Linked DNA regions of Struthio camelus. The protein of the gene in region 4 binds, or shares a complex with, the protein of the main gene of each other region. Links are inferred from orthologs where the notes say so. Each region holds a gene or a part of one and is shown on either strand. Other genes may lie near its edges. The genes, in order: ANP32E, VPS72, MBTD1 and ING3.

The links.
Region 1: ING3 (region 4) and ANP32E share a complex: the UniProt entries of both Homo sapiens proteins name them as parts of the SWR1-like complex. The link is inferred for Struthio camelus from reciprocal best matches to the Homo sapiens genes ING3 and ANP32E.
Region 2: ING3 (region 4) and VPS72 share a complex: the UniProt entries of both Homo sapiens proteins name them as parts of the nuA4 histone acetyltransferase complex. The link is inferred for Struthio camelus from reciprocal best matches to the Homo sapiens genes ING3 and VPS72.
Region 3: ING3 (region 4) and MBTD1 share a complex: the UniProt entries of both Homo sapiens proteins name them as parts of the nuA4 histone acetyltransferase complex. The link is inferred for Struthio camelus from reciprocal best matches to the Homo sapiens genes ING3 and MBTD1.

Annotation. Positions count from the first base shown.
Region 1 is NC_090971.1:2,784,433-2,792,317, reverse strand, and holds the start of ANP32E (acidic leucine-rich nuclear phosphoprotein 32 family member E), read right to left. Parts: upstream 3,288-7,885; 5' UTR 3,036-3,287; coding exon 2,982-3,035; intron 499-2,981; coding exon 349-498; intron 1-348. UniProt on the Homo sapiens protein: Histone chaperone that specifically mediates the genome-wide removal of histone H2A.Z/H2AZ1 from the nucleosome: removes H2A.Z/H2AZ1 from its normal sites of deposition, especially from enhancer and insulator regions.
Region 2 is NC_090971.1:35,328-42,822, forward strand, and holds the start of VPS72 (vacuolar protein sorting-associated protein 72 homolog), read right to left. Parts: upstream 3,121-7,495; 5' UTR 2,507-3,120; coding exon 2,390-2,506; intron 1,475-2,389; coding exon 1,322-1,474; intron 928-1,321; coding exon 810-927; intron 653-809; coding exon 473-652; intron 371-472; coding exon 229-370; intron 1-228. Other genes in the region: putative PIP5K1A and PSMD4-like protein, read left to right, coding at 3,251-3,308. UniProt on the Homo sapiens protein: Deposition-and-exchange histone chaperone specific for H2AZ1, specifically chaperones H2AZ1 and deposits it into nucleosomes.
Region 3 is NC_090960.1:7,139,625-7,147,718, reverse strand, and holds the start of MBTD1 (MBT domain-containing protein 1), read right to left. Parts: upstream 3,249-8,094; 5' UTR 3,178-3,248; coding exon 3,103-3,177; intron 3,053-3,102; exon of another isoform or gene 2,733-3,052; coding exon of another isoform or gene 2,712-2,732; intron 792-2,711; exon of another isoform or gene 603-791; intron 1-602. Other genes in the region: UTP18 (U3 small nucleolar RNA-associated protein 18 homolog), read left to right, coding at 3,460-3,762, 3,901-4,031, 4,136-4,231, 4,900-4,979, 5,221-5,306, 5,846-5,971, 6,867-7,041, 7,368-7,468. UniProt on the Homo sapiens protein: Chromatin reader component of the NuA4 histone acetyltransferase complex, a multiprotein complex involved in transcriptional activation of select genes principally by acetylation of nucleosomal histones H4 and H2A.
Region 4 is NC_090942.1:26,308,668-26,316,610, reverse strand, and holds the start of ING3 (inhibitor of growth protein 3), read left to right. Parts: upstream 1-4,684; 5' UTR 4,685-4,880; coding exon 4,881-4,908; intron 4,909-5,079; coding exon 5,080-5,151; intron 5,152-7,943. UniProt on the Homo sapiens protein: Component of the NuA4 histone acetyltransferase (HAT) complex which is involved in transcriptional activation of select genes principally by acetylation of nucleosomal histones H4 and H2A.

The DNA.
Region 1 (7,885 bases), on a different chromosome or scaffold from region 4:
TTTATCGCAATCCTTTATTTTGTCAGTAACATGCAAATGTACTTCAGTGGCCAAACAACCAAAAAGCCTGTATCAGTCATTAAGTATTCATAAAGATATGGCCAACCTGCACATTTTTAACAGACAAGCATTTACTGTTCTAAGAGTTGTTGACCAAGAGTAATTTGAACATAATGAACTAGAGATGCCCCAAACCATTCTACATCTTCCAAAAAAATGGAGATTGGCATGGATACGCGGCCAGTGATATGCAAATTAAACTGCAAATACCGAAAGACACAACAAGTTGCACTGCTCGTGATTGTCAACGTCACAAGTCACGCTGTTTTGCGGAGCAGAGATACGTACCTTTCGGAGCTTACTCAACGTGGGAAGTTTGGCCAGCGATGTCAGCTCTACGTTGGCCATGCTAAGAAACTCTAGCTCTTTAAATGAGTCATTCAGACCTTCTATTTCACCATTGCTGGATCGGCAGTTATCGAGCACCAACTCCGTCACCTTCAAATAGGATATCAAGTCGCTTGTCAGTTTAATGAGCATCACTAAACCGTGCACTTCGCCTAACCACAACTCGAAGGCTGTTAAACACCTGGTGTGTATTTAATTTAAACCAGAATTGAAGTTATTTGCGGTCTGAAGTCACAGCACCCGCCTGTTTTAAAAAGGTATGCAACAGTTTCCCTTCTTACGAGCATGTTTCAAATGCTGCAAAGACAGCTATCTAAAAAGAAACTTTAGCGTACTGAGAGCCATACTTCTATGGCTTCATATAGTGCCACCACAATATGGTGAAACAGTGTAATCCTTTACATAAAAACATATACGGGAATTGTGAGGTCAGATCACAGAGACAGTCCATCAAATATAACATCCCATTTCCAGTAAAGGCCTGATTACACTGAACAAGAGGAAAGAGCAAGATCATGTAATTTGGGTAGCTTGAGATTCATCTGCTCTTTTTAAGGAGGGGAAAAAACCTTCCTTTCCATCAGTTAGTGGTTCACTTATATACCAAAACCTTGACAGTATGCACCCCGACTAGTTTCTAAATTCTAATAATTGTGCGTATTCTAACGCCTAAAGCCATTACATTTCTTTTTGAATCCTAAACCTTCCGACTTCAGATTATTTTAGCAGTGAGTCGTGCAAGTTAATTAAGCATAATTAAATAACTTTCTTAAGCCACTGCTCCTAAAACAACTAGAACGTCTCATACTTTGAGAGGAGGTAACAAAAAGCATCCAATAAACTCTGCATTATTGTATACGTTATGGAGTATACCACTCATTAGAAAGGCTGTTAACAACGTGACTATACCTTTCCCCAGCATGCACTTAAGTAAAATTTTAAGACTGCCTTCTCGTGTTGTGGAGGGAAATTAAGTATTTGAACTCGTAGCACAATTTGTCAGCTTCAAATAAAGTCTCAATGTTTTCTTTCTTATTTTTCTTCCAAAAAAAAAAAAAGGCAAACACAGGTTTTTAAAGAAACCTGCCAAGGGAGAGGGGAGCTTGATGTCTTAGGCTACAAGATAACATGCATCTGCCAACCTAAAAGCGTTATCTCGGCCTTTTAAGATACCTGCCACAGCGCACGGACCCACACGCTGTTCAGTTGAATAAACGGTTTATGCCCCCTCTCCTTTTTTTTTCCCCTCCTCCCCCCAAATTCCCTACGAGGCAGGTCAGTCCCTCAGGCTGAGTTTAAAGCACTTTGCAGTATCAACCTCTCTGGACTTTACTCTCGGGGCGAGCAAGGCAGCCGGGTCAATAGCGTTCTTCGCCGACCTCAATGCAAAAAACATCTGTTGGGGGCACCGCTCGTCCGCCGGACAGATTCGCCAGCAGGGAAGCGGGGGCTGCGAGCCGCTCAGCCTCCTCTGCGGGCAGCTGGCGGGGCCGTCAATGAAATTACTACAGGGGATTAACTCGGCCGCCGCACGCTACCCCCCCCCCCCCCAAAAAAAAAAAAAAAGAGTAATTGCGGAGCTAGGCTTTTTTTTCCCCCCACGCTGGGCAAAAGCAGCGAGGATCCGAGCATGAGAAAGGGGTTTCCCCCTTCACCACCCGCCGCAACTCCGGCCTCGGAGGATTTCGGCAGCCGCGTCCCACGGGGAAACGCGCAGCCGGTGGCGGCGCCGGAGCGGACTCCGCTGCTCGCCCCTGCCGGCGGGCGAGGGGAAGCCGGGGGGGGGGCAAGAGGGGCTAAAGTGCGATGTAGCCGCCGCTCAGGGCTTTCACCAGCGGCTCGTGTGGAAGTGAAGGGGGGGGGGGGGGGACACACACAAGTTTCGCTGCGAGCCCCGGCGGTCCCCGCCCGGAGCCACGAGGGCGGCGGGTGCCATCGCCCCACGGGCCGGGCGGGACCCGGGGGAGGAGGGGCTCAGCCCAAACGGCCTCAAACCTCACTGTTTTTTGGGTTTTTTTTTTGGGGGGGGGGTAGATTCTTGGCGAGGGGAAGGGGAAAAAAACCAAACAAACACACACACACACACCCCGGGAAATCCGAGCCGTTTCCGACGCATTCGGGGCAACGATGCCGCGGTCACACGCGCCAAGTTGAAAACAAGGCGAATTACCCCCAAATTTAAAGAAAAAAAATGAGTAAAAGTTGCGGGATCGCACGCACGCGGCGGTCTCTCCCCCCCACACACACACCCCAAACTTCGGGGGGGAAGGGGGGGGGGTCCGCGGCGAGCGAGCGCCCCCGAGACGCGGGCGCGAAGTTGGCGGCGAGGGCCGAGGGCGGGGGGGAGGCGGCTGCGGGCGGGGGGGGGGGGGGGGGGAGCAAGTCGCCGCCGCAAACCGCCCCGGGGCCGGCGCCCGGAAGCGCCGCCCGCGCCCGCGGGGCTCCTGCGCCACGGCTGACCCAGATTCGGCGGCGCGGCCGGGCCGGGCGGAGGGCGGCGAACCGCGCGGGGCCCAAGCGGCGCCTCGCCACCCCCCCCCTTCCCCCGGCGCCCCCGCCGCCCCCCCCCTCACCTTCTCGGGCGCGCGGTTCCGCAACTCCAGGTTAATGCGCTTCTTCATCTCCATCGCCCCCCCCCTCCCGCGGCTCCTCACTGGAGAGGGAGGGTGGCCGGGCGCCGGGCAGGACAGACCCGGGGTCGCTGTGGCGGCGGCCGCGAGGGAGCCGCGAGGCGGGACGGGAACTCGGCCGGCAGCCGCCGCCACCCCCCTGGCCCGCGCGCAGCTCCGGCCCCGTCAATGGCCGCTCGCACACTAAGCCTCCATGACATGGCGCATGGCGCCCCCTCCCCGACGCCACGCCCCCGCCGCCGAGGGGGGGCGGGGCTTCCTCCGCGCCGCCGGCATTCTCATTGGCGGCGGGCCGCGGCCGGAGAGCGGCGCCCGATTGGCTCGTCGCGGTGCCCGTCGGCGGCGCGTCGCTTTAAAAACAGGGCCGGCGGCAGCGGCGGCAGCGGGGGTGTTGCTTTTGGGCGTGGGGGCGCGCGCGCACGGGGTGGCGGGAGCGCGCGCGCCGCGGGGTGTTGCACGGGGCGGGGCTGCCCGCCGGCCGCGTTTTTGCGCTGCCGGTTGCACGGGGGCCGCTGCCGGCGGGGTTTTGCCCGTGGGATTTTTTGTATGGCCGGTTGCACGGGGGCGCTGCAGGCGAGGTTTTGCCCGTGGGTTTTTGCTCCTTCCTCTGCGTGGGGTGGGGGGTGCAGGCAGGGTTTTTGCACGCCTGGTGGCTCAGGGGAGCTGCAGGCAGGGGTTTTGCACGTGGGGTTTTGCATGCCCGGTTGCTCAAGGAGGCCCTCTAGCTGGGATTTTACCTGTGAAGTTTTTACTTACCCGTTTGCACAGGCAATTGCAGGTGGGGTTTTGCATGCCCGGTTGCCCAGAGGGCTGCGGGTGAGGTTTTGCACAGTGGGTTTTTGCATGCCTGGTTGCACAGGGCAGTTCTAGGTGGGATGCTGCATAGAGGGTTTGCTCAGCTGGTTGCACAAGGTGAGGTTGCAGGCAGGGTTTTACATGGTTGCATGTGGGGATTGCCCCAAGGGTTTTGCCTGCCCGGTTGCATGGAGGATTGCATGCCCTAGGGTTGCATCTGTTCCTGGTGATGCAGAAGGGAGGCAGGACATGGGAGCAGACCCTTTGCAGCTTCGCTTTCCCCAGCAAACCTGACTCTGAAGCTGCTCCAGTGCATACTCTGCATGCACCATAACTGCAGGAATGCTTCCTTGGCTTGCATGCTGCAAAGTGGTCTAGGGGCTTTCTGAACACTGAGCAAACTAAAACTGCCTGCAACAACCCATAGGTCTTGCACTCATGCATGAACACCCTGGAAAGCTCACCCTGACCATGTCGCTCTTGCTGGCTTCCAGTAGCTGTTAATCCCAATCCCATAAATCCTGACTATATAGGAAACCATTGACTTGTTCCGCTCAGCGTGAGTGCCCTGGTCTAGGGCCAGCACTGCAAAAAAGACCTCGCCAAAGCATTGGCTCAAGTTAAAATTTGGATCCTGCCACCTTGGGGCCTTGAGTTTTTCCAACCGTTGATGCCCGGTGCGCTGGTACATGGTGCTGCTGTGGGATGGACTCTTGTGCTGTGTTACTGATATATTTTCTCATTTCCTCGAGGAAAGAAGATGCTGATCTTGGGCGACGCTGTGGCAGGGGCTGAGGTGCCAGGTCGGACGGTGGATGGAAATGCTTTGCCCGAGGGGAGGCGTTAGGTGCTGGCCCCGACGGACAAGAAACTCTAAATATTTGTGCGCTGCTGCTTTTAACTGTGTGACACAAATAGGCAGAGATGTTTTGGCAACTTAGTGTCAAGACAGAAAAACCATGGGAAATCTCTGCTGGCATATTCTAGTTTGTTTAAACTTGGTGAAGAAAATTTTTCTTGTTTCATATGGTGAGTGTTTGTAGGCTCCGATTTATGAGAACTCGGGACCCTTTCTCTATGACTATTGAAGAAAGGGGTTACAAATGCAGCCAAAATGCCCAAGTCTTGCCAATCCTGGGATGTGCTCGGTCTGGAGGGTGTTTCGTTTCAGCCGATCTTATAGAAATTCACCCACTAATGTGGCGAAAGTAATGTCTCGAGAAAATCTGTTCCAACGCTACAACGCTTTAGCTAAAATTGCAATACATTTCTGTGCTAGCTGATGCTGAGGTGCTTTGTGTGCTGCCTTTGGTTTGGAAGTGAGCGTTCCTTCGCGATGCCAAGGCGGAATTTAATACCAGCAATATTCCCTAGTTATACGATTTCCTTATTGCTGCTTTCACGTATCTGCTGGGCTTTAAACCATGTCCGTGATCTGCCAAGATTGGCATGACCCCTTTGCGCTTGACTTTGAGCGTTTGGCATCCCCTATACCTTTTGGAAAGCCGGATTAAAAACTGAGGTGAAAATTGGAAAAAGCATCTTGAACTTAGCTGATCAGTCAGAAAACAGAATTTGTGCCTATGGGGTCGGACTACGGGTTCGTTTGCAGGCACCCAGGGCTGCTTTTGCTGAAACCTGCTTGCTCATGCTTTGCACAGGAAAAGTGCTCTGGGAGGGATGCCAAAACTTAAGAAAAATGAGTGAAATAACCAAAGCAGGATTATGCTTTACATTTCAGCTGCGTTTGCTCAGCGGAGGAAACGGTTAACATTCGCAGGGGCAGCAGCCTCGTCCAGGCCGGGTGCACCAGGAGAGCCCTGCTTTAAGGCCTGGCGTAAGGTCAGGACGCGGTGAGTGAAGGCAATAACTTGTGAATAATACATGCAGGAGGCAATTTTCAATCCTCAGTAATTGTGGAAATCGGCACAAATGAGTTTCCTTCCTAGAAATTCTGTCTTTAGTGTTAATGGGTTTCTAAAAAAAAAAAAACCACACAAGCTCATGCAGAGCTCTGCTAGCTGACGGCTGCCGCTGCCCAAGCAAACTAGTTTAACCAGCTGAAGTATTTCTGGGCTGAAAACAGCTGTGTCCTGCTTTTCCAGCCCTGTCCACCTTAGCGGTGCGAGTGTTAGCAGCAGATCGGCGGAGCGCAGCAACCCGTGCTGATGTGCAAAGCGCAACTGTGGGGGTTTTCCCCCTCTGAACAGCTCCAGTCTGCTCCCGGGGACCGAGCGCCTGTTTTGAGGCTGGGTTGCATTAAGCGCATCCGGAAGATGCATGTCGCATCGTTGCGGGAGGAATTTCAGTGGGTTGGGCGCAACAGCGGCAAAATGCAAATTGTGATCGTTTTGAGGAAAAAACAGCCAATGAGGCATTGTGCATTTTGGGTATGTCACTTGTTGCATGCTGCGTGTGCCGATAGGGGTTCCTGGTTCTGGAGGATTTGGGTAATCGTGCAAAGAACAGGTGCAACGAGATTTGTTCCTAGAAGGGTTTGCTAAGCTGTTGGGATACTGCAGTGTTGGGGCTGTGATTCAAAAATGGAGTAGAGCTTGAGGGACCTGGTTTCTTCTTCCACAAAGATAAGTTAGATCGCGGCGCAAGAAATAATATATACTCGCTAATGCGCATGTACTCGCTATGAGATTTTTTTTAATAATGTCAGTTTTGGAAAAGAGATGAGATTACTTCCAATTTTTTATTATTACACTTTCTATAAGCTGTCACTAGCGATGCCGGGGCAGTGCAGAAGGTATTTGTGCAAGGGGGAGGCAGGCAGGAATCGGCCCCCTTCGGCCACGTACAGGCTTTTCTCATGCGTGGTCTGCATAAATCACGGATAATCACTCACATCTCTTGCAGGAAGGACCGATTATTCATTTAATCGCCTGTATCTCTCTAAATCTGTGATGGTAATAAGGCAAAGGCGTACCTTATCTTGATGGAGCAGCTTAAGTATTGTTTTGCCCTTTCTTTGTCCGTTTTTAAAACGTGCTGTAAAGCTAACACCGGTTTTGTTGTACAAATTACCTTTTTATGCCCTGTGTAGTTAGGTTTTACTTTGAAATCTAGTACTTTGGGGAAGAGCTCGAGGGGTTCTGGTCTTTGCTGTTGGGGATACCGCCGTTGGGTAACGATGCTGGTGATGTTCAGTAATAAACTTGGCATGTCACAAGCTTCTTGCATATATTTCATTTTCACTCAGTTTTCTTCATTGCAAGGTTAATCTCGGCTCCTGAGCAAGTGGTATGTTTGGAAATAGATTTACCGCTCTTGCAGGCAAAGATTAACACTGCTTTTTGACTTTTACAGCAGTTCCTGGGATAGTGCGGTGAAGAGCCAGGAGGTGGCAGTGGCTTGCAGCATATTTCAATCTCGCCAGGGCTCCTGGCGCTTCCCTGCAAAACACTCCGCTTCTACTTCGCACCCCCGAAGTCCCTTTGATGTCAAGCCGGGTAACCTCCACAGTATTTTCTCAGCCCGTTCCCTACTTGAGTAGTCCCTCGCAGCTCTTTGGGAGCGCTTTCTTTGCTCCCTTCTCGTATTTTTAGCTGCTTCTTGAAACTTGTGTCACGCTTGCAACCGCAGACCGCATCGGTCCTTGCTCTCCATCACCCGTCTGAAGCACGTGTGGTGGCACGTTTTCCCCTGGCCGGGGTAGCTGTGCCGATAGGAGTCCTGGTATGGACTTGGGTTTCCTGGCCGCGGGGCTTTCTGGAGCGCTTTGCTGGTGCTGCTAGTAGTGATGGATGCAAGACATTTGGTTAAGAACAATTACGGAAAGTAATAACTTAGACTGTACGCCACGCTTCAAGTGCTTCAAAAGCCTCCTTTTGACAGGATGAGTCCTATGCAAGTGCATTTCTTTTGTTTTTTTCCCTATTCTGCTCTTGACCCAGGACTGCGGTGTTTCCTGAGGATTTACACCGGTGGAACAACTGGAAACAAAACGTTGCTGTTGATCGCTCTGCAAACGCCGCAGGGGATGGCTCCCGGCACGGAGACTTGGTCTTAAAGCAGCTCGGTTAAAGTGGTGGCCTGCAAGAGGG
Region 2 (7,495 bases), on a different chromosome or scaffold from region 4:
GATAGGACACTAAGGGCTTGGGAAAACCCTGAGGCAACTCCTGGATGAGTCAAAGCCACCAAATCCCCTCCTCAATCCCCTCCACAGGACTGGAGTGCAGAGTTAGGGAGTCGAATGTGCCTTTCGAAACCCACTTCCCCCTCAGTGTGACGGGACAGAGCCTGGGGAGCAATCTGGAGTAGGACCTGACACCGGAGGGGCCTAGCTGCATGCTGTGAGGCAACCTACCCCTCTACATCCACATTCTCCTCCTTGCCCAACTCTGTGATGAGGGGCATGGTGACGGAGCAGTAGCGGATGACAGGCCCCACGCACTTCCGCTTCTTCTGAACCTGCTTCTTCTTGTCGGCCTCCAGGCGCTCATAATTCTCTGCAGAGGTGGGGACAAATGGGGTCTCAGCACCTCACTGATGCCCTCACTCACCAGCCCACACCACTTCAGGGCAGCCCCTTGGCACTCTGCCCCGCTCACCCAGGGAACGGAGGTTGATCTCCTCTGTGATCTTGGCCTCCTCCAGCAACTCCTCCTGCGTCAGCGGGCGGTCATAGTTGGGGCCACCCTTCTTGCGCTTGGACTGCACCTGCCGCTCCTGGATGCGGAGGAAGGTCTGGCGCGTGTGTTCTGTCGTTGACTGCCGCATGTGCTTCCGACCTGCCGTGGGTGGACAGGAGTCAACTGGGGACACCTGCTGGGCCCAAGCCACCCTGTACAGCCTGAGCCAGACCCCAGTGCACAGCCCAGCTTTGAGAGAGGCTTCAGAAGGACCCATTTCCGGCCCACCCAGGTGGATACATCCCAGCCCACATACATTCACTGTCTCCCACTTCATCCTGGAGCTCCAAGGGGGTGGATTTCACCTCTCGGGCCTTTTGGGAGCTACTGCTGGGAGTGTCCGGCTTCTTGGGTCGCAGGCTCTTGATGGGCTCCTACAGGGATCAGACATGAGGTGACATGAAAAAAAGAGAAAACTTCCCTCCCCGCTAAGGTTTCGGCCTTGTTTAAACAAGAACCTGTTCAGGGACCACACAGTGGTCCCTGCTGAAGCACCAACAGCCCCAGAGAGGAACATCCCCCCCTCACGACGAATGACATTGTTAATAGCAGCAGCTTTGTTAGCTTTTCTTAATTATCCCATCTTTCCAGGAATGCCTGTATCTTCTCCGAGTAGTTTGGAGGTAGCTCAGGTCCTCCCAACACCTCTGCCCTTTCTCAAGGACAGAGCAGTGATGTCCTGGTATGGGTTGGTGCCTCCCGGGACTGGGATGGGGACCCAGGAGTCCTGAGCCTAGTCCCATCCAGACAGCCCCGCACGCCCCTCACCCTGTAGGCCTTGGTGACGACGCGGCACCGCCGCTTGGGCTCGCTCTCGTCCTGGTCACTGGTCGGCTCCTCGCCCTCATCGATGTCGAAGTCCGAGTCCACCTCATCATCGCTCTCTGACTGATCACCCTTGTACTCATCATCGCCTGACTCCTGCGGGAACAGAGAGGCCGCGTCACCCCCGCAGGGCTTTGCTCCCCACCCCATGTGGCCCTGAGTCCCAGTGCCCTCCTGCCCCACGGGGGAAGTAACCCTGTCTCTGTGGGGGCAGCTTCTCTCAGTGCCCCCCCAGGCAAGAGACCCTCCTGCTCCTCGCACCTCCCTGCTAGCCCCCATCCCCTTCCCCAGACTTCTTACTATCCCTGAGGGTCTCTCTGTGACCCCCATACCACTTAAAGCACTGGGATCCCCAAGCCCCTCACCTGCCCCCAAGCCCCATGTGCCTTCCCCTAAGGACTCTCAATACCCACTCAGAGCCCCCCAAAACACTCAGCAGTTCATAAGCCCTCTTTCCACAGCTCCAGGGCCACCCATTCCTCCCAGGGCCCCCTAAAGGCCTTTAATACCCTTCCAGGACCATCTCAGACTCTCTCAAATACACTCCCAGGGCCTCCCACCCCAGCCAGTGCCCCCATAAAGAACTCCCGCAACAACCTCAGAGACCTGTCATCCCCCCCCAAATACCCTCCCTTGGCCCCCCCAACCTTACCAGGTCTCCCACAAAGGCTTCCAGGTCCCCCCAATGCCCTCGGGATCCTCTCAGACCCCCCCAAACACCCTCTCAGGGCCTTCTGTCCCCCCAGTGCTATTCTAAAGGTCCCCAATATCTGAGGGCCCCCTCAGACACCCCCAAATATTCTCCCAGGATCCCTACTGCCCTGCAACACGTCAAATCCCCCCAAATACCCTCCCAGGACCTCCCAGAGTCTCCCAGCACACTCAGAACCCCTCAGGACCTCTAAAATACCCTCATAGGGGTCCTTCAGAGCCCCCCAAAGCCTTAAGAGCCCTCTCGAGCCCCCCTAGACCACTCCAGTGCCCCCTCAAAGGCTCCCCTCACCCCCACACCTCGGTGAAGCCGCCGTATGTGGTCTGGTAAAACTCATCCTCCTCCTCGGCCTCCAGCAACCCCGAGAGGCGGTTCCCAGCCGTGCGCCGCGGAGCCCGACCCTCCACCAAGCTCATCCCGCCGCCGCCGCGCTCGGCGCGCCGCTGCTCGCCCTGCCCCGCCCGCGCGCCATGGGCAGGCCGGGCCGAGCGAGCGCCGAGAGGTCGATGGTGCTCGCGCTCCCCCTAGGGGCTAGAAGGAGGGCACTGCAGGGTGCGGGTCTGCGGCGGGAGGGCTCCCCTCTTAGGTATAGGGCCTGGAGTAGGCTTCTGTGTAGGGTATGTGCCCTGCGGGGGCTCTTCTGTGGTGTCAGGAGTGTGACGTCACCGCCGCACCCTGGCGTGACGTCACCCGCGGTTCGTGACCCTCCCCCCGCGGCATTGTTTTGGCCCGCTCGTCCCATCACGTGACTCATGGCAGCCTCCATGCCTGCTTCATTCACCCCCTCCCCCCCACTGACGCGCATGCGCCCTACGCAGGCCCCTCCCGCCACCTCCGCCAAGCACTGAAACAGGTGGGGCCGCCGCCCTGGGAGGACTCTCCCCCCCTCCTGCCCCGCGCCGAGTGGTTGCGTCCGGGGGTGGAGGAGCGTCCAAGTGGGGGGGGGGTGAGGGAAGTGGTCAGCCGCGCGGGCTCTGCGTGTGGGCGCCGCTGTCCCTCCCGCCCGCTGCCGGATGGTGCGGTCCTGAGCGGCGGGGCGGGGCGGAGCAGGGCGGGCGGGCGGGCGGTACCAATCAGGAGGGGCGGCGCGGGCTGAACGCAGGCTGGGGAGGGGGCGGGGGGAGTGCGCGAGCCGCCGCAGGAGGAGGGCGCGCACCAAGATGGCGTCGGCCGGGCCCGAGTCGGGGGGCAGCAGCGGGAGCAGCGGCGGCTTGGCAGGTAGGGGGCTTGAGTGGGGGATATGGGGAGAGGGCCGTGGATGTATGGGGCCGATTTGGGCTCTGAGAGGGGTGAGGGCGGTGGGTATGTGGGGCTAGGCTGGGCTGGACTTGGCTCTGGAGGGGATGAAGGCCGTGGAGCGTGTGGGGCTGTGATGAGATGGAGGGGGGTGATGGCCTTGAGGTGTGTGGGGCTGGAGTGGGTTCTGGAGGGGAGTGATGGGTCTGTGGGGCTGAGGTGAGCTCTGTGGGGGAATGAGGCCCGCGGGCTTTGTGTGGCTGAGGTGAACTTTGAGGGGCAGAGGGTTGTGGGGATGAGGGCCGTGGGATGGAGCAGGCTCTGAGGGGTACTTAGGGCCGTGGGGTGTGTGGGGCTGAGAGGACTTAGGGGGTTGGAACGCTGTGGGGATTTCTGGGGGAGCGAGGGCTGTGGGGTGCGTGGGTTTGGGAGGGGCTCGGGGGAAGGGGAGGACCTTGGGGGCTGTGAGGCTGGGTGTATACAGGAAGGCACTTGGGTCTTGGGCTCTGCCCGGTGTGGGGTGGGAGGGGGAAAGCTGGGGCAAGGCTCTGGGGGTGCTGCCTGGGGCTCAGGATGTGAGGCAGGACTTTGGGGCAGTCTGGTCTCTGGTGCTGTGGGATGAAGTGAGGTGTGGGGGAGTGTGTTGGGAGGGGGGAGGGTGAGTTGCGGATGAACTCCCTGCAAGGCATAGGGGAGCGAGAGCAGGAGGGTTATGGGGCAAGCTCTGAGTGGGCTGAGCAGCTGGCTCCATGGAGTGAGCTGGGGTGGGAATTTCTGTGGGTGTTGGGAGTGAGGTCTCTGAAGGGCTGACCCTTTTCCTGCAAGGCGTTCATAGGTGTGTGGTGAGGGTCCTGTGGGCATGAATGGTGGCAGGTAGGGGGGCTTGAAGTCTTCCCACAGATAGGTAGTGGGGGGGTTCACAGAGACTCCTGGGGAGGTGGGATTGAGTTACATTTAAGGGGTGTCCTGATGGGGCAGGGAGGGTGGCTGAGCCCCCTACAGTGGGAACCCAAGGGGTTGTTGTGAGGGAAAGTTGACTCTATTTTCCCTTATATTGCTAAAGCCTGACCCCCCCAAGTCAGGTTGCCTTCACAGGTGGGGGCAGTGGGTGCTGGCTTCACTTACTCAGCTGCTAGAGGGTGGTGGTGGGGAGCTAGAATGTCTTCCTTCAGGCAGGACTGTGCGGTGCTGGGGAAGGGGGAGGATAGCATCTCCCTGGCAGAGGCACCCTCTTTGCTGTGTCTGGTGTTGGGTAATGTGAAGGTAGCTCATCAAAGCTATTTAGCACCTGTGAGATGCAAGATGATATGGGAATGTAAACATCTTCTGGTTAGATTGGTTTTAATGACTAGAACTAGGTCTGGTAGAAGACCTGAAGGTTTCTCTTGCTCCACTGATTTAAATTGCATTGGATCTGCAGTCAGAGGGTATCAGCTAATTTTAGCTGAAGCAGAAATATGCTGGATTCAAACTGGACACAGTTCTCATCCAGAAGAATCCAGTAATGATAAAATAGGGATGTGTGGAAACCATGCCTGGGATAAAATAAGGTACTTCTTGGTTCTTGAACCTGCAACTCTTCTTCCTCCAGAATTTCATGGCTAATGTTCTTGCAGAAAGCAGCTTTCTCATGCTAGTTCAAGGCTAGAAACAGCAATGACTATCTAAAAGCCTTTTAACTTGCATTTGGTAAAATCCATCCAACCTTCCTGAGTTGCTCTGTTGGAGAGCAAGGAGGGTTTTTATTTGTTATAATGCAATATGCTGAAACTTTCTGGTCAGCAAGAAATCTCTTGTGACTTGAATTGCAGCAAGGAAACAAAACACGAAGGAAGGCTTCCAGCTGAACCTCAGCCTCATTGACACACTGAAAGCACCACGTGTTTTATACCTTAAGCCCCACTGTCTGCTACCCGGGGTGTCTTGTAGAAGCCTTTAGGGACGGATCCCAATGAGAACCATCCCTAGGACTCCCCTTTGTAGCTAGCAGGCTATGTATGTGAATCCCTGGATCCTGGACACCACTGTAAAAGGGATTATTTTAATCGTTGCAGTGGAGTCGATGAGGCAATGTTGTCCGGGTGTCACCTGGGAAGGCTGTGTGAGGGTATTAGACTTCCTGGGTTCTTGGATGTGATCATTGGATGGTTTTGCAAATGGATCTCTGACATGTTCACTTCGTATTTGTTCACCTTATGACTAGGCATGGGAGAAGTAGTACCTGTTGGTCTGATGGAGCCAGTTTTGCGAGGAAGAGATTACTTAGGTCTTTTTTGGCTACGACAGTCATACTGTCTCAGCATAGAGCATAGCATAGCTCTTGCCCACTGAGCTCGGCATAGGCGGAGCATTCAGGGGCTGGACCCTTGGGGTCTTTTCCTTGCCCTGCTTTGAGGCTTCCTTTGAGATCTTGATCCTTTCCTGTGCTTGCCTGTTTCCTATTTTGGAAAGGAGGAGCTTGCTTCAGAAGGCTCTTAAGCTCTTGAAACCCTTCAAGCCCTAAGAGAAAATATGCAAATGCACAGGTAAATCTCTTCTCTCTTCCTGTTGGAATAATTGCCATTGTTTGCTTCTCAGGGTAGCTAGGTGTTGGCTAGCACACATTTCCCACTGAATTTGAATCCTAATTATTGCAGAGCCTCAACTGTGTGAGGTATGTTCACCTTGGTTGATCCCTGCTGGCACAGGCTTTAAATCTCTGCTTTCTGTTGTTGGTCCCATCTCTGGGAGACTTGGGTCCTCTCTAGTCGGTAGCACAGAGGAATATCTTGTGCGTGCTGAGCATCACCTCCCTCTGGGAGGAAGTCCCTGACTGGGACTGCTCTAGGCAGGCTTTGGGCTTTGAGTAGGAACTGGTCTGCAGCTTCCTGAGAGAACAGGTAGAACTGGAGATAATGAGAGCTGTGAGCTGCTGTCCTTGCATGGCTAAGGAGAGGGATCCTGAAGTGGGAATCTGGCTGCCACTGCTAAATGGGCTCATCAGCCATGTGTTGGGTAACGTGGCTGTAAAAGAGCTGTCTCTAGAGGGATCCCACTGTGCCTATCCCTCTCCTAAAAGGTATCGCACAGAGAGACCTGGCTTGCAGCGCCTGTGTTTATCATTACCTTGCAGTCCTGCCAGGCAGAGGCATTTCACTGTCTTGGCAAACGCGTTTTCCCATTCTTGCATTGTAATAACAAGGCCAGGAGCAAACACCAGGTTAGAGCAATAACTAGTGCTTTTGTTTTTGCCCTGGGCAGAGGCTGGTAGGGCACCAAAATCAGTCTTGGGCCAGAACATGGCAGCTTGTTGCTTCAGCTTGACTGTGTGAAGGCTTCAGGTACGACTTGCTTACCCACCCAGCAACCCCTTCAAATGCCAACGGAGCAGCTCTACAAAAGGCAGAGGACTGCCAGCAGACAAAAGGAGGCCAGTGGTTGTTGGTGGAAGCCTGTTATTTTGGACATGAGGTTTTAAATTTTCTCCATGGTAAACCTTAAACCATCTCCAGTCCTGCCATGGCTTGTTGAGGCAGTGTCTACCCTCAGTGCACATGCTGCAGTTCACTCTGGGGCTGATTACTGAATGATTCTGAAACTCCCTCCCTTTCCTCTTCCCAGGCCAAGCAGGCAGTTTTCCTTGACTGCTCTGGAGCCCTGCCTCAGCATGTGTTTAACTCGCTAGGGAAACACCCAAGAGGATTTCTCATTTTGCTGCTTTCACTTTCAAGCAGCATGCACCAAAAATGCTAATGTGGGATTTCAGTTGTTTGATTCTTTGTGCCTCTGGTTCAGTGACCGTTTTATAATTACAGATCTGAGCGAATTGAGAGTTCATTGTCACCCTGGCTTCGGGCCCCTCCCTGAAGTCCACAGACAAAAGAATTGCTCTCCAAATGGCTCAGTTGCTTCTAGGGGCAGAAGAATTATCCCGATACATCTGAAATGAGCTAAGAGCAGGCCTCTGAACTGCTAGGCTGTAAATATAGGTGTAAAACCTCTAGGAAGTCTCATCCACCCCACTGTCATATTCCTGCAGGAGGGGCATTGCTTTCTGGATCCAACCTAGTGGAAGGAGGAAAGATCATATTAAACAAACATCTGAATGGCTCATTATCTTTAAGCTTAAAATAAGACATCAAATGACTTCTCAAATTCTGTCTCTCGGTTATAAAAGTCTCTCTTGCGGT
Region 3 (8,094 bases), on a different chromosome or scaffold from region 4:
GCAGCTTAACAAAGGCCCACCAGCACCTATAAAGATAGGCAACGCATCACTTTCTACATTCAGAGGCAACCCCCAGAAACATGACAGGAGTATGGACAGATGGCGTTGGAGGCCAAGATCAACAATGAGGTCATCATAAACTTCGAGTCAATTGTATGTGCTAAGATGTATTTACTTCAATCACACATCCTTATCAGATCATGCATTTCCCACAGCGTACTTCCAAGTTCATACCAAATTCGATGCACGGCCTTTGTTTTCAAAAGTTCATTAATGCTTTATGCTGCAAGTTTAGTTTTAGCTCTGTATTTCAACATTAAGACACCAAGAAGACAGAACTAATTCATTACAACTCTTCTGAACTTCACCTAGCCAAAATAATTTAGTGTAGTAATACTAGCTTGCCCCCTGTGGAACTGAAGAACTAATTGTGTCTCAGAGCATGACAAAAAAGGAAAATTCAAACACCATTTCAATTTTAAAGAAAACATACTTTCAATTTTCATTAAAAACAAACAAACAAAAAAACCCCAAACCTAAATGTTTTGGGATTCCTGGAAATTAGAACCAACCAAACTTACTTTTTTATAGAAGCGACTCACCTCTATCTGGAAATGTGCCTTCCACTCTTATTACAAGTAAAATCTCAGCTGGAAAATTACAGAAATGTTTTTTCCTGTCTCTTCATTTGCTATGTATGACAGCATTTTGTCTGAAGCCAGTTTCTGCTGTTTGCCAATGGTTTTGTCCATAGCCTCTTCCCCAGGGGGTTTCACACAAGAGGGGAGACTCTTTTACAAAAAAATATATCAAATTAGCAGGCAATTTGGAGGGGGAAGGAGACGTAATATCTGAAATATCTGAGTTCTGAGAAAACTCAAGATGTGTTACAAATTCCATTATGCTTCTACAAAACCCTTGCACGCAGGAGTTATCTGGAAGACATGAAGTCTAGAAGTCAAATACTTGGTTTTCAACAATGCATTACCATTAAAAAAAATCAATTTATAGGTTAAAAAAAAAAACAAACCCAAACCCTGGAACACCTGAATTCCTTCTACGTGCCAAGTGCCAGATTCAGTAAAATATCACACTTGCCCAGCATGTACTGACTTACCTGAGAAACGAAGGTATGCAGTAGCAGTTTGCAGAAGGTATCAAGAACCTTGCAGAATTAAACCAAGTTTTAAAAGGTAAGAAAAATGAAAGCCAAGGGAACTTTTGTACATATTGTTGTCATTACTGCTACAGTCACGTAGTTCTTCTGAGAACCACAATGAAGAGAACCCTTGCTTTCAGCTGACAACCCTGTTGCACATGCACTATGCACTCTCAAGACCAAGATCTAAACTATTCTTTAGTGTAAACAATGACTTCCCGCTAAGAAAAAATACACCTCTGCTACGCTTTCCAATAACTTACACTACTCACTTACTCAAAACGATCCCTAGTTAGAAGCAACTAGTAAAGGCTACTGACTTACCAAGTTTGGTTTTTGTTTAAGAATATCATTGTTTTAGCTCCCATTTAATGTTCCAGATTAGACTTTCTCCTAAACTTATTATTCCATTCCTTATGGATCAAAATCAGGCTGTTATAAACGACTAAAAAAACTCCAAACAAATAAATACAGCATCTCCGACCTGGAAAATAGCCTTCATTTAAAACAGAGAAGACTACCCTGCAGCTTTCAAAGCCGCAACTAGTTTTAGAAGTTAAAAAATCACAAGGGCTGTCACCCACGTTTTAAAGTGTTATTTTAAAAGGAACTGCTTTCTCACACGCAGTAGCTTCTACCGTAATCAGCAGACGCTTTATAGGGCGATTCTTTTTTTTTTTTTTTTAAAGTCACACTGGACAGAAATTCCTACAGTTTAAAACACTTCCACCGCCAACCTGAAAGCGAAACTGGTTTCACGAGTTTATTGCTCGCGTCCAGAACAAAGTCAAAACATCAACAAGCATAAAAAGGATATTGACGGGGCCACTGGCTGCAAAGAACCCGCCGCTTCTGAAGTGCCGGGACTAAAGAATACTCTAAAGCGCTTAAAGTGAACGCGACGGGCAGACTAAACCTTAAAAGCGGTTAAGGGCAAGAGGAAGTTACTGAGAAAAGCAGCGCTCCGACAGACCCCTCTGAGGACGCGTATCCCAGCGAGCCTGAAGCGCTCGCTACGAGACAGACCGAAACTTTTTGTTACTGGCTCTGGCTGCCGGCAGGGACATAAAGAGAAAGGCAGGGGGGAGGCCGGAGGGGGGGCGCCGCCGGACCACAACAAAGGGGGAGCCGCCGGCCGCCCGCCTCCACGTGCCCGCAGCTGCGCCGCGGATGACAGGGCTGCGCCGCCGCCGGCAGCTCCTGCCGAGCCCCCCCCCGGCCCCCCTCCGGCGCCCCGCAAACTTCGTGCGACGGCAGCGCGCCGGGAGGCGGCAGGCAGCGAGCCCCTCCGGGCGGCCGGTGCCTCCCCCCGGCGCTGCCCGCCCCCGCAGGGGCTCGGCGCTGCTCTCCTCCCACACAGGTGCCCAGGCCGCGCAGCCCCCTCCCCCCGGGGGAGCGGGGGGGGGGGGAGGCGGGGAGGAAACACCGTGAGGGAGGAGGGGGTCGCTCAGCCCCACCGGCCCGGCCCGCGCCGCCTCCCTCCCCTCAGCGCCTGGCCGCAGCGCTGCCCCCCGCCTCAGCCCCCCGCGGCGGCGGCGGCCGCGGGACTCACCAGGTCCTTTGTGTTTTCCATCAGGCCCTCATGGGCAGGAGGTGCCCGCTGCCTCTGCCCCCTCCCCTCGGCTCGGCCCCCTCCGCCTGCCGCCTCCCCCTGCGAGGGGCCGGGCCCAGCGGGGGCAGGAGGCGGCCTGGAAAGTTCAGCCTCTCACTCAGCCGGAGAAAGAAATTCAACTCCCTGCTCCGGAATATCAACAACATTAGCATAACGGCACTGCGCACGCGCGGCGCCCGGCCCACCGCGCGCTCTCATTGGGCTCCCAGCTGTTTGGGGCTCCCTCGCTCGCCGTACCCCCCCTGGGCGAAACCACTCCGCAAAGGAGGGGGGGGCTCACGGCATATTAGCGCATGAAAGTTAAAAGCGGCCCGGAAGGGGCTTGTTTTACCTTCTCGCGGGTGACGAGACACGGGAGGTTGCCGCCAGGCTGCCGCTGAGGAGCGGTTATTGCCATATGGGGCATGGGACCCCTCTATGTTTGCGATGGAGCGACCTGGCCTCGGACCTCATCACGTGAAAGGCGCGGGGGGGGGCGGAGAGGAGGAGGAGGAAAGGAAGGCAAAGAAAGGAGGTCACGTGACAGCGCCTTGGGTCCACGACAAGCGGGCCGAGTCACGGGGGCGGAGGAGGGGCAGCAGCGCGAGCCTATCGTGTGAGGGGGGCGGGGCAAGGCGGGGGCGGTATAAGGGAGTCACGTGGGCGGCGCGCACGCGTTCCGGTTCCGGCTGCGGCGCTGTGAGGGGTGATGGGGCGCGCGGCGGTGGCGGCTCGCGCCGGCCCGGCGGCGGCGGGAGGGCAGCGGCGGCCGAAGATGGCGGCGATGAAGAAGAAGAAGAAGAAAAAGAAGATGGCGAAGCAGCTACAGCCGCTACAGCCGCGCGCGGAGGCGGCGGCGCAGGAGGCGGAGGAGGCGGCCCGCCGCGGCCGGCACTTGCGGGCGCTCCGCGGGGCGTCGGGCGCGGAGCGGGCGCTGGAGGAGCTGGTGTTCGGCGACAGCCTGGCGGCGGAGGAGGGCGAGCTGCTGCAGCGCCTGGCCGGGCCCCCGCCGGTAGGCCACGGCCTGCCCTGCGCGGCGAGGCGGCGCCTTCCCTCGCCGTCCTTGTCCGCCCGCTTTCCCGCCGCCCTGTGAAAAAACGGTGCCGCCTTCTCTGGCTGGGTTAAAGGGGGCCTCTTTGGTTGTTTTCAGCTTCGTGCCGCCGAGGGGAGAAGCCTTCTGAAAGACTCCAGCGATTCGGAAGTGGAGAATGAAGCCAAAGATAACTTCTTATCGTCTAAGAAACCAGCCTGGGTGGATGATGACGATGAGGCTGAGGAAAAGTAAGTTAAAATTTGTGGATAGGAAATAAGGACGATGCTTTAAAGAACTAGTACAAATGACTTCAGTTTAAGTAATCTGGGTGCTTCTTATGCTTTTTTCCTAGGATTGATATGACCCACAGGTATAAGAAAGATATGATGAAAAGTGATGCTGAGAAGATACTTAGTAAGAAAAAACTTAGGCAAAGACTTCAAGAACAGTGAGTTTCATTAACCCTTCTGTAGCTACTTCTAGTAACGTAAGATACATGCGTGTGACCTTCAGAGTACCTCTTCTTTTTGCTGAATTCATGTAGATGGTTTAAAGTTATCGTGTCTAGCAATATTTGCTGTGTTTAACTCCAAAGTAGTATTAAGAATAGCAAATAAGGCTTATGAATACACTTTTCTATGGACTAATTTACTTAGCACTTGTTTTAGTAGAGATGTACAAACTTGTGTTCTAGGGAGCTATATCAGAAAAATCTTTGCAAGTAGGGTGATGGGAGACAGTGACTTAGGCTAGGTGATTGGTTTCTACTTAATAAGGTATGTTAGAAAGAATGAGCTGAAATATGGATATAGATAGATAGCAAAGCACTACTGTAGACGTGTTTGGGCTGTCTTGGTACTAGCACTTATAATTCCAAAGAACAGTATTGTCATGTTTAGCACCAGTTACACTTTAGTTTCATGTTCTAGGAGTCCGCAAAATACCTTATAAATGCCAGGAGTGAAGTTGTGAGGGGGAAGGAAAACTTGCGTTGTGATTTTATGCGCATATCACCTCGCACAATTGAGGCTGACTATCATGTAAGTTGCGCATAGAAGGAAACTACTTTCTCAAAAACGTCCTTTCCCACTTGCCCCCTGTTTTTCTTCTCGCTAGATTTCAGCAAGCTATGGGAGGAGTTCCTGCCTGGGCTGACAGAGGAAGTAAAAAGAAACACAGAAAGACTGCAAATGACAGTAAAGAAACTCATTATGATTATGAAATTATGATTTTAATATGCTTTTGTCTGCTCCCCTATTCAACTCTTTAGAAAACAATTTTCAGTGTCTCTCCAGTGTGAATAAGGTGATAATATGTGGGATAAATTGGCTTTATCCCTTCGGTGTGCTTTTATTTCTTGTTGCTTCTGTGGGGAATTTGTAGGTTTGTAGGAAGTGTTTGTGAAATCAATCTTTTCTATGTGTTTTGTTTTAATAGGTGATAGTGATGAAGATGATGATCTGCTATGCAGGACTGGCAATTTCATATCAAACTCAGAGTCCCTGCCAAGAGGTATTTTGCAGGTAAAGGCAAGCCTATCTTACTTTTACCTTATTTTGACCCCTATACACATTTTGACCGCTTTGCTGTTTGGACAATAATGTTTCTGTTGGTGATTGTATGGATTTTTTTCCCCCCGTATAACTTAGAGGCCTAAATATTTCTACTTCAGAGAAATTGGGTAGGAAGGATGGAATTTTCCCACAACTCTGAGGTTGCTGAAACGGTCTTTGATACAGTAAGAAATTAACTTAATCTGACAGCCTTAAGAGTTTTGTATGCTATCTGATCTGTGTTCCAGATTCGTTGAAATTTAACTAATTTTATATAAATTGCATTAATTCAGAGGTTGGTAGAAAGGTTAATTATCTTGTATCTATGCTACTGTAGCAGCACGTTTTCCCTGACTTACTGTGTATTCTGCTTGTCTAAGTTGTCTAAAAGGTCAGCATAGTGTGAGGTCTCTTGCTTTGTAGAACAAAGAGAAATTAAATTGACTGACTACTCACCAGCATAAGCAAATACGTGTTGTTTTTTTTTAACCGCTTGATCTCTATTATAGATGAAGAGCTGCTTGCCTGCTAATCAGGAACGCCTTGCTGGTGGAAAACTTTCAACAGTGCAATTCCATCCTTCTGCTCAAGTTATCCTCACTGCTGGACGCGATCGATCTGTGTCACTCTTTCAGGTGAGAAATTTTAATATATGCAATGGAAATAGCAACTAATATTGAATGTTTTTTAATAAATGTATTTTAAATGTGTTTTAGCTGGGGTGGGGTGGAGTTGCTTGTTTTTACCTTTTTCCTCCTCTCTTCCTGTGATGGCATGTGGATGTTTTAGAGATTGTAATGTCCTTGTGTCTAGAGTGGAATTTTCTTGACTGAAATTTTGTTCCAACAAAATGCCTTCTTCAGTGGCCTCATGCTAACTGCTTATAGGGTATAGGCAAATTGGTTTTGTCCAGATTTTTAGTAAAGAATTTTTTTTAATATCTTTGGTTTCAAGATTGTAGTGACTAGGACTGATGTGATTTTTTTTTTCCCCAAGTTTGTCTTGTTTTTTTAAAAAAATAATAATTTGAGCAACAGTAGCTTTAAATGAAAGTGGAGAGCTCAAAGCATTTTTGGAATGGAGAGACTGTCCTGCAGCAGGAAGCTACTCATCCTGGGACTCTTCTGTCACGCTCCTCTGAAATGTAAAAGTCTATTTCTCTATTCAGGGACCAGTGAAGTGGTCAAAGGCACAAGTCAAGCTTGACTCCCACAGGTCTGCAAGAGCGAGCAATGTGAAGGAAATGATGTCATATAGGAAAGCACAATATAAATGATAATTAAACAAAACCTGGGCATGGCAGGAAGGCTGAGAGGTGTTTGGAGTATGTGCAAGGAGGGTGGGAGTGCCTGAGGTTAGGGTGAGGAGTTAAAGCCAGGTTGTTTGTAGATTGGGAAGGTAGGGAGATTAATACTTCAAACGAGTGTACCTTTTGCTGCATAAGTCTCTTGTACTGGCTAGTCAAGATTAACTTTTTTTGTGTAGAAAGACTTCATATGTTCCTTAATGTATTATCTGTGTTTTTTGAAGGTTGATGGTATAAAGAATCCAAAAATACAAAGCATCTATTTAGAGAGTTTTCCAATCTATAAGGCTTGTTTCAGTGCTGATGGAGAACAAGTTATAGCCACTGGTACCCACCATAAAATGTTCTATGTGTATGACATGATGGGTGGAAGTATTATTCCTGTACATCAAGTAAGAGGTACGTTTAAGTGTTAACATTTTAACTCTCTGGGTATAGTTGAGATTGTCCCAAACAGAGCTGGCATATAAATCAACTGTAAAAGAAAGTGCAGTAAACCATTGGTGGTACGGTTATTTGTCTTCAGTGATTTTTACTAGTGTGTTTAGTTTTAGTTTGAATAGTTGTCACACAAGCTTAAGGTTGAGTTGTACCTTTCCTGTGGCAGCCTATGGCAGAAATGAAAAGTTGAAGTGGGGTCAGGTCTTTACTCATGTTCATCATAGATCTGAAAGCTGAAAGAGAATATCATGCCAGCTTGAAGTTCTGAATCCCTCTTTTTAAAGGTATGGAGGAGAAGTTTGTCAAAAATTTTGAAGTGTCTCCAGATGGATCATTTATGCTGCTTACTGGAACTTCAGGTTATCTTCACTTGCTGTCAATGAAGGTAGGGTTTTTTCATGACTCACTTTGCCTCAGTTTCTTGGTACCCTTTGCCTCCTGAATCTGCTTGCTTATCTTTGATCTGAAAAGCCATCTGGCTTTTTGACTAAAACAGAAATATGAGACGTGCTGACAGCCTCAGAAAATGAGGTATTGTGTTGTCTGGAACTGTAGCTTCAACAAATGATTTTGGGATGTCTGAGAACGTTTTGCAGACTACGCAGTTCTCTTTGGGACTGGTGATAGAGCTAAGGCCAGGGTTTCATAGGCTTTTTAAGCTTTGCTGGAAAGGTGTCTGTCTGTTTCAGCTGGTGCGCAAACACTGTGCTGTCAGAAAGAATGGCCTCAATATGGAAGCAAGTGGCTGAGGGTAGGGGGAAATAGGACTGCTTTCCTTGGGAATTGTGGTAGGTTTAATGTGTTCATGAATCATGCTAGCTCCTGGGGTTCGTAAAGCATACAGATTTTTTTCAGCTAGATTTCAAATGTCATTTGGCAGCTGGATTTGTTTCAGATTTTCGTTAGGAAAAGTATTCTTGTCAAAAAATGTTCAGTGCTGTTCCTCAATGGGGACCTCCCAGTGAGGGACCCAATGAGCCTGTATTGAACTAGTTCTAGTTGGAGATCCAT
Region 4 (7,943 bases):
AAGTGTGCACACAGACACACAGCATGCTTATATAAGCTTTATTTCCTTAGGAAGTCAGGATAAGAACACTTCAGTTATTAATATATAAACAGTGATTGCTCATATCCTGCAGACTTTTGAGGAAATAACAGAAATCTGCAAGTAAATTTAACTGAGCCTGCAGCAGACAAAATTAGGTAAAAGATGAAGATGTAATTGCTTGAGTCAGTACACAAACATAAGCTGAAAGACAAATGGCAGTTCCATTTTCCTGTTGACTGTTAAAAGTAAATTAATTATCTGGGGTCATGGATTTGTTTCCAGAAATAGGAGTGTGAATCTCAGAATTTGCAAGAGTTTGTAATATGTAGAAATGGAAAGTGATTTTTTTAGATAGATTACCACGCAACCACAATACTTCTGGGCCAAATTTGCCCTTTTGAGGATCATTTCACAGAAGTGTGAAGTTTCTGCATACTGCTGCCCTAGACAAGGGTAACATTATTTACTGGATAGTCTCACCCTGCTTTTTCTTAGGATCTGGCTTTGGATGGAGTTTCCCATTACATAAAATTGATTGCCCAGAACAAATACGATCATGCTGTAACCTTTACATGGTACTCAGTCTCAAGACAATTTAGTAATTTAACTAATGTCCTCCATAGCCATGGGTGTATAGTACAGCTGGAATGACAGTTATTTCCTGCACAGTGAGAATGAGGCTGTGGAAGAAGAAGGGGCAGAATACGGGAGATGGTGAGGTCCACAGCTGCTGAGAGGGACAGTTGGACTGCAAGAGAGGAAGGTCTGGAAAGAATGGAAAGGTAACAGCAGCAGAAAGAGAGTAGGCAACAAACAGATGAGGAAATATTATAATAAAGTAGTTGAAAGCCTGTAAGGAGACCAAGGGCCTGATGCTAACACTGGTATTCAGACAAAACTCTGTAAACTGCTAGGAATGTTGCTATCGGCAGCAAATGCTCGCTGCAGCACACCGTGGTGAATGGATTTCCGCCAGATAGGACTGCTGTACTGCAAACGGGGCAGTGCCAAAGAAAAGCAAAATTCTCGCATCCAGTATTTTAAGAGCTGCCTAGGCTGGTACTTGTACACAGGCTCTGTTGCACCATTACTTAGTGCTGGCTGGCTGTCACTGTCTCTTAAAGCTCTTTAGCGAGCACAGTCTAGACCTCAGTAACAAAGAGCTTTTGCTTCACATTGTATGTTAGCAGTCTTTGTGTGCAAAGGGGACAGACTCCCATATGAGAAATTCAAAGCGCACAAACCTACCAGCAGTAGCTGAGACCTAGGATCATCAGTCTAGGGATGGGCTAGATAGGTCTTTCCTGATTTTTTCAAATCAAAGTATTAGTAAACAGTCCTTGAAAAAACAAGCAAAACACAAGGACTATAGGTTTAAAAACACTGGATTAGGTAAGAGTTAAAAATCAAAGTACCAAAGAAACTACGCAACAGTGACACTCCCGAATAGGTATAGAAAGCCCCTGAAAAACATATAGCTTGCAAGACAGACAGAATGGATAGGAGAAGGACAGTGAATGGAAAGAACAACTGATTGAGGAGGAACGGGAAGTTGGACAGAAGGAAGTCAGAGACTTGGCACACAAGCCTGCAAGTGGGAAGTGACAGAACAGAATTATGGAAAAAAAGACATCACAGAGATCTGGAATGGGAAAGGACAGATGAGAGGGAAAAGACAGAAGAGTCTGAGCCTCATCTAAGAAATGTACATCAGAACATAAATCCATGTTTTTTAATCTTTTTTTCTTTCCTGACAGCTGAAAACTAATGAAACCTATGCAAGCGATTAGCTTTAGGTAGATCACAGAGCAACTGCAATATTCCTTTATGCCATCATTCTGCCACAAGTGATGAGACATGATTTATGTGAAGCATTTGCAGGACAAAGGCCATCAACATTAATAATGTTACAGTTTATACCAGCAGGAGGAAACAGCAACTCCTATGGCTTCCATTCTTTCCTCTATGCTAAGCATGTCTACTGCTATATGGAAGGTTTTTTTGAACAATGTTGATTGCAATTCACAAATTGAATTTCTTTTTAGCTTGAATTCACAGCTAGTGTTTACTTCTTTTTTAAATGCATTTGCATCCCAATAAACACTGTCATTAATCCCTCTTTCCCTGATCAGGAGCTGCTCTAAATAGGTTGTTCCAATTAGGCTGTTCTGAAAGTCAGGTCTTTACATTTATACACAATAGGAAGCTTTTCACTGTAAAAATATTGTTCCTTTTGTACGGCCTTTAAGGCTAATCACTTCTTAAAGTGGCAATTTAAACTCTGTTCTGTCAGTCTGCCATGATGAGCAGTAGTTACTCACACAATCCCACTGAATTTGGTTGGCTATACACTTGAGTATACAGTGTGAATTAACACCGGCAGAAATGGACTATGTGACAATTTCTCCAATTGTACAAAAAAGAGACTACAGATAGATAAAGGAGTTCATATTTGCTTTTCAATACTGAACAAAGCTAAATTCTATTTTCACTCATACTCTACATTATCCCCTCCCATCCCCTGCTGTAAAGCACTACAATGCATGATTTTTAAAGAAGCTTCCTAATTTTACAAAAGTTGCTGACACATTCCACTAAAACACAAAGGGGGCCACTCCTGCCTTGGAGATAGCAGGGTCCAGCCCCACCAGAATCTTGTCTTTGTCATTCTGTTGGCGTGCCTGAGTCCCATTTTCCCTTGCCACTCATGCGGACGGTGCAAACGCTAGCATTAAAAGGAGTGACTGAGACCCAGCCTCAAGCAACGTGTTTCTTAGTTTGCTTCATTTGGGTACCACAGTACACAGGAAATATTTGAAAACACCCTATCACACTAGCTCTTGGTGAGCATTCTGCTGACTCTCCCCAAGCCCACAAACTCAGGCACGCAGCAAACTCAGGCATGAAAGAGAGAGTTATTATGCAGCAAATTCAGCACAGGAGACGGTTACAAGTCCCAGCATCCTGGCTGTCCTGTGATTTCGGTCATGGGGCACCATGGTGAGACTTTACCATATAACTGTGCTTCAGTTGTAGTTCTAATGGTGGAGTTGTTTTGTACAATATTTTTGTACAATATTGTTCTCTTAAATATCTGTTGGATATGTATGTATACATACATATCCATTTTGTCTACTATAAAATTTTGTTTTCAGTCTTTAGGGAACATTAAAGCCATCACTGAAAACGAAAAAAGTGACCCCCATCAATTCAGATTTCCCTAAATTCACCATCCTTTTCTCCTAATGAAAATAGGATATGATTACTTTAGCTGTGCATTTGAATACGCTAAGTTATCTTGCCACATCGAACCCTTTCACTTTAATAGAAGTGTAGCGATTCATTTCCCAGGAAGGATCAGAGCGTTTGTCTTCCACATAACAACAGGGGCACAAGCAATTTCTCACACAGAACTTCAAAAACATTGTCATTCCTATACCAGCATGTTAAAATTTGTACTTTAAAGAGTGCAGATGCTTTCAACTATTGCTCCTGACTGATACTTACTGGGCTTAACTGCATCTAAAAATTGTTCAGCGGTATTTATGACATTAGTCAATACTTCTGTATCAGCAGTGCAGAACAAACAGCTAATTGATGGAATGAAAATGGAAAGCGACCACTTAGGTATAACACTTTTCCAAGAAGTTCATAGTTATTGTTATACTTTTTTTTTTTTCATTTACAATAAGGTAGGAATATAAAAGAATGCTTGGCTATATATTATGTTTTTGAGACAGAACTAAAATGAAAATCTTCATAAAAGCCACACACAGAATTTAAGCTCCAGCTTCCAAAATTAAATCATTTTTAGCTAATTACTCACAACATATGTACTTAAAACATGAGAAAAGAATGCAATTTTCCCTTCATCCTGACACTCAAAAACATCCTGCACTGTTTTTTTCTCACACTTGGCTAAGCCATATACTTCCTTTCCTTGCTTGGATGCATATGGCGCAGATGACCAAACGAAAAGATAACAAACATGGCAGAAAACTTGTCTTTTCTGGTATGGCAATTCTTACGCTGCCTCTATCTACATCCGGTATCACCCACTCCCTGAAAAGTCCTCCCCACCATCAAAAACCATATTACACCGTAGGAACATCTGGACAAAAACAATCACTGTCTTCTACGCATTAGCGCATGACTAGACCAGGAAATACAATTAATGATAAAACAGCGATGAAATAAAGGTATTCCGGGGATTGAAACTGCGGAAAAACTTCAGCTCAAAACATTTAACAAGTAAATTACAATAAGAAGCCTTGTAACTTACTCATTTCTATCTATTTGCTAATTATTTTTTCTACACTAAAGAGCAATTCCAAAGCCCACAGATATCCCATTATACCTGTAACTTTTATTACTATCTATACTACTCTTTTTCTGGCGAAAAGACAGCGCACGGACTCTAACATTAAACTCCAGGACCTGGGGCTGTAAGAAACCCCCAGTGACAACGCAGGGCACAAGGGTCGGGAGGCAGCGGAGCGGCCCGCGGTAGCTACGCGGCGCCCCGCAGCCGCCACCCCGCCCGCCCAGCTCCCCCCACCGCGCCAGCAGAAACGGGAGGGCGGGAAGGAGCGGCCGCCGCAGTGCATCATGGCACACGTAGTTTCCCGGCCCTTCCCCGGGCAGAAACTACATTTCCCGTGATGCCGTCGGCGGCGCGCGAGGCACGGCGTGCGTCAGAGGCGCGGGCAGCCAATTGCGGCGCGGCCGAGCCGAGCCCCGTCAGCCGCCAATGTTGTTTTCGCTGAGTCGAGCTGCTGGTGTTGTTGGCGGCGGCGCCATATTGGAAGGGACGAGCCCCCGTTAGCGAGAAGCCCCTTGGCGCTCGCCCGGCCGCCGCCATGCTGTATCTGGAGGACTATCTGGAGAGTGAGTGTGTACGGGACGGGGATGCCGGGCGGCGGGGCATAGCTAGCGGAGGGGGGCCGCGGGGAGGGGGGAGCCGCGGCGACGAGGCGGTTCCCCCCCTCCCCCACGGCGGTGACTGACTTCCTCCCTCCTCCCCGTCTCCCTCCCCCCCGCCCCTCCGTGTGCCCGCAGTGATCGAGCAGCTTCCCATGGATCTGCGCGACAGGTTCACCGAGATGCGCGAGATGGACCTGCAGGTGCAGAGTACGTGAGTCCCGCCCCCTCCTCCTCTGCCCGCCCCCTCCCCTCCCGCGCTTCCCCTCGCCTCTCCTCCTCCTCCTCCCCGCGCCCGCCTGCGCCGCTCGGCCCGGCCCGGCCCGGCCCGCCGGCGGGGGGCGGCCGCGGGCACCGGCTCGCTCGCGCCGGGGGCAGGAGAAGAGGGGGCGAAACAGCGCCGCGGCAGGCGCTGCGGCCTGCCTGGGCAGCCCCGTTCCCCGCCGCCGCCCCGCGCGGTGGCCCGCGGGTGGCTCGCCCCCCTCCCCTCCCCTCCCCTCCCGACGCCCTGTCTCTCCGGCAGCGCCGCAGGCCGGTCCGGTGCGGGGGGCCGCGCCACGCGGCCGGCTGCGTCTCGTCGCCCCTTCCGGGGGGCCGGCAGCCAGCGCCGCGCCGGGCTCCTGGCGTCTTCTCCTACGGGAGAGCGATGGCGCGGCGCTGTCGGAGCGGGCGCGGCTGCGGCTGCGGGAGGCGGCGCTGCGGAGCCCCGGCGCCGCGCGGGGAGCCGCCGGGACGCAGCGAGGGGCGGAGCGCGCGCGCCTGGCGCTATGTCAGCGAGCGGGGCCGAGCCGCGGCCCCGCCGAGCCGCCCGGCCGCTCACAGCGCCGTCTCCGCGCAGCTAGGATTTGACAGGAGCTTCGCTCCTGGGCTTGTGCCGCTCCTTAAGGCGTTTTCGGTGGCATGTCCCAAACTCTTTAGACTTTTGATTCCTAAGAGCAGTGGTGGTGGGTTGGAGCATGAGTTTTATCCCGCTCTTCCAGCAGGTCGCTGTGCGCTGTTTCTGAAACCTTCCAGCCATCTCCCCTCATGATTGTACATGTGAAAATGTTTTCTGCCTAGTCTCTTGTGCCTTAGCTGGCACTTACCAAATATACGTCCACTTTACGTTTCTCTGTTGATCTTTTTGTATATCTTGTGTTTATATCCTGATTTCAGATGCTGCCTAATTTTGTTTTCAGGATTCCTTGCCTTTTGGTCTCATCTATGACTTATGTCAGGATGCTAAAGGATTCTTTGGCTCTAGTTAGGTGTTGCTGTCATTTAACACACAATTAATATGGTCATGACCATAATGCAAAGCTCTTTGTTGACGAAATTGTTCTTTGTGACAAAAGTTGCGAGGATTCATCAATACAGAAGGACTGGGCAATCATAAGGAAGAATGAGAGAGAGAAAGAACAAGGATTGAAGTAACAAGTTGGTGCAGTGCAGTAGTATGAAATGCAGCACCATGCTTACAATATTTTGCTGTCTAGGAGTGCAATAGGTCAAACAATAGTTTGACCTATAATCCTTTCAAGTGAGGTCTCAAGCTTGATCTGAGGTATTTACTTTAATGATTCCAGCTGGTCTGTTTGACAGACTTTATTAATGTGTGTTGAACTGGCTATAAGTTTTTCTGTATACTGTGGTGTAAGTGCTATCCTGGCTTCAATGCCAAAGCCAAAGGACGTGAACAGTGGCTCAGGAGCTGAGCAGTAGGAGATAACATTTATGAAGTAAGTGTCACTAGGGAGCACCAGGAGAGGGAAGGAAGCAGCTCGTGGGCTTAGGTAGTTCCAAATAAGATCACAAATTTGCCTTCTATTGAGTATGGAAACAAAGCTAGTACTTAAAGTGTATTTCAGGACGAGCCGACTAGTGTTGCCAAGGCTGCAGTACTGTCGTTTCCTCTGCCATAACTGGAAATGGCAAATGACACTAAGTATTTTATACTAAGTTCAACCTTAGGCCCAGATTGAAAAAAACAAATCTCTTTTGGACCGTAGTACTTCAATAATTCTTGCACAATGAGTGACAAAACATCCCAAGACATTACAAAACTCCAGAACTCTCATCTCTTCCATGTCAATTGCCAGACAGCCAGCTGAATGTTCCGTATCAACCAGATTATTCTGATGCTGTGAAATAGTGACTTTCTGTGTAGCTTCAGTGTCTCTGACGGCCTTGAAAACAGCATTTATGCAAGGGATGCTGTCTCAGAAAACTACAAGAGTCATAAAGCGATAACTGCACTACTGTCAGAGTTGATACTGACTTTATAGTCTGTCCTTTGTGGGGAACATGGACTTCTAAAGGGACAGGTGTTGCTTCTTGTCATTGGAATAAGTATAGGCAAACCAACTGTATCTATTTTACGTCTTGATAATACCTGTGGGAAAGGGAAGAACATCCAAGTTGTGACTTTGACTGTTGATGTCCAACTAAGACAGTTTACATGTGGAGCTTAAAATGTCTTTATCTATTTCAGTTCAAGTCATGGATTATCAGGCCTCCGTGATAAAATGTCAAGCTCTGGGAAAAAAGTTCTCTATTCTAGTAGAATTTCTGGCAACTCCCTTGCGAAATCTGTTCTAAGAAATTATTATGTCAGAATGTAGTGTCACAGTAGGCTTAGAAGGGGGCAGAGGGAGAAACAGAAAAACTGAAGGAACTTACATATACCAGAGAGAACCTTTGGATAATTGAATAGGTTCTCTCCTGTGTTTCCCCCTTAACAGTCCTAACCTTTCAAGAGAGTCCAAATTTCTTTGAAAGTTTTCACATATGCAATTTCACACAGAGTGAAAGGTGTCCTCAGTAAAAAGTAAAGAGGGAAATTTTTTTTTCGTGTCTGGGAAGCCATAATAATCTTGCTGTTCCTCACCTAGCTGTTTTCACTCTTGGAAGAGAAGATGGAGCGTTTTATCCTTGAGGTTTAGAGACCAAATTATAGTCATTTGGCCAAAGAACAGAGCTTTTAGAAGCCTTCACAAAGTGTGAGCTGCTTGCTTCCTGTTCAG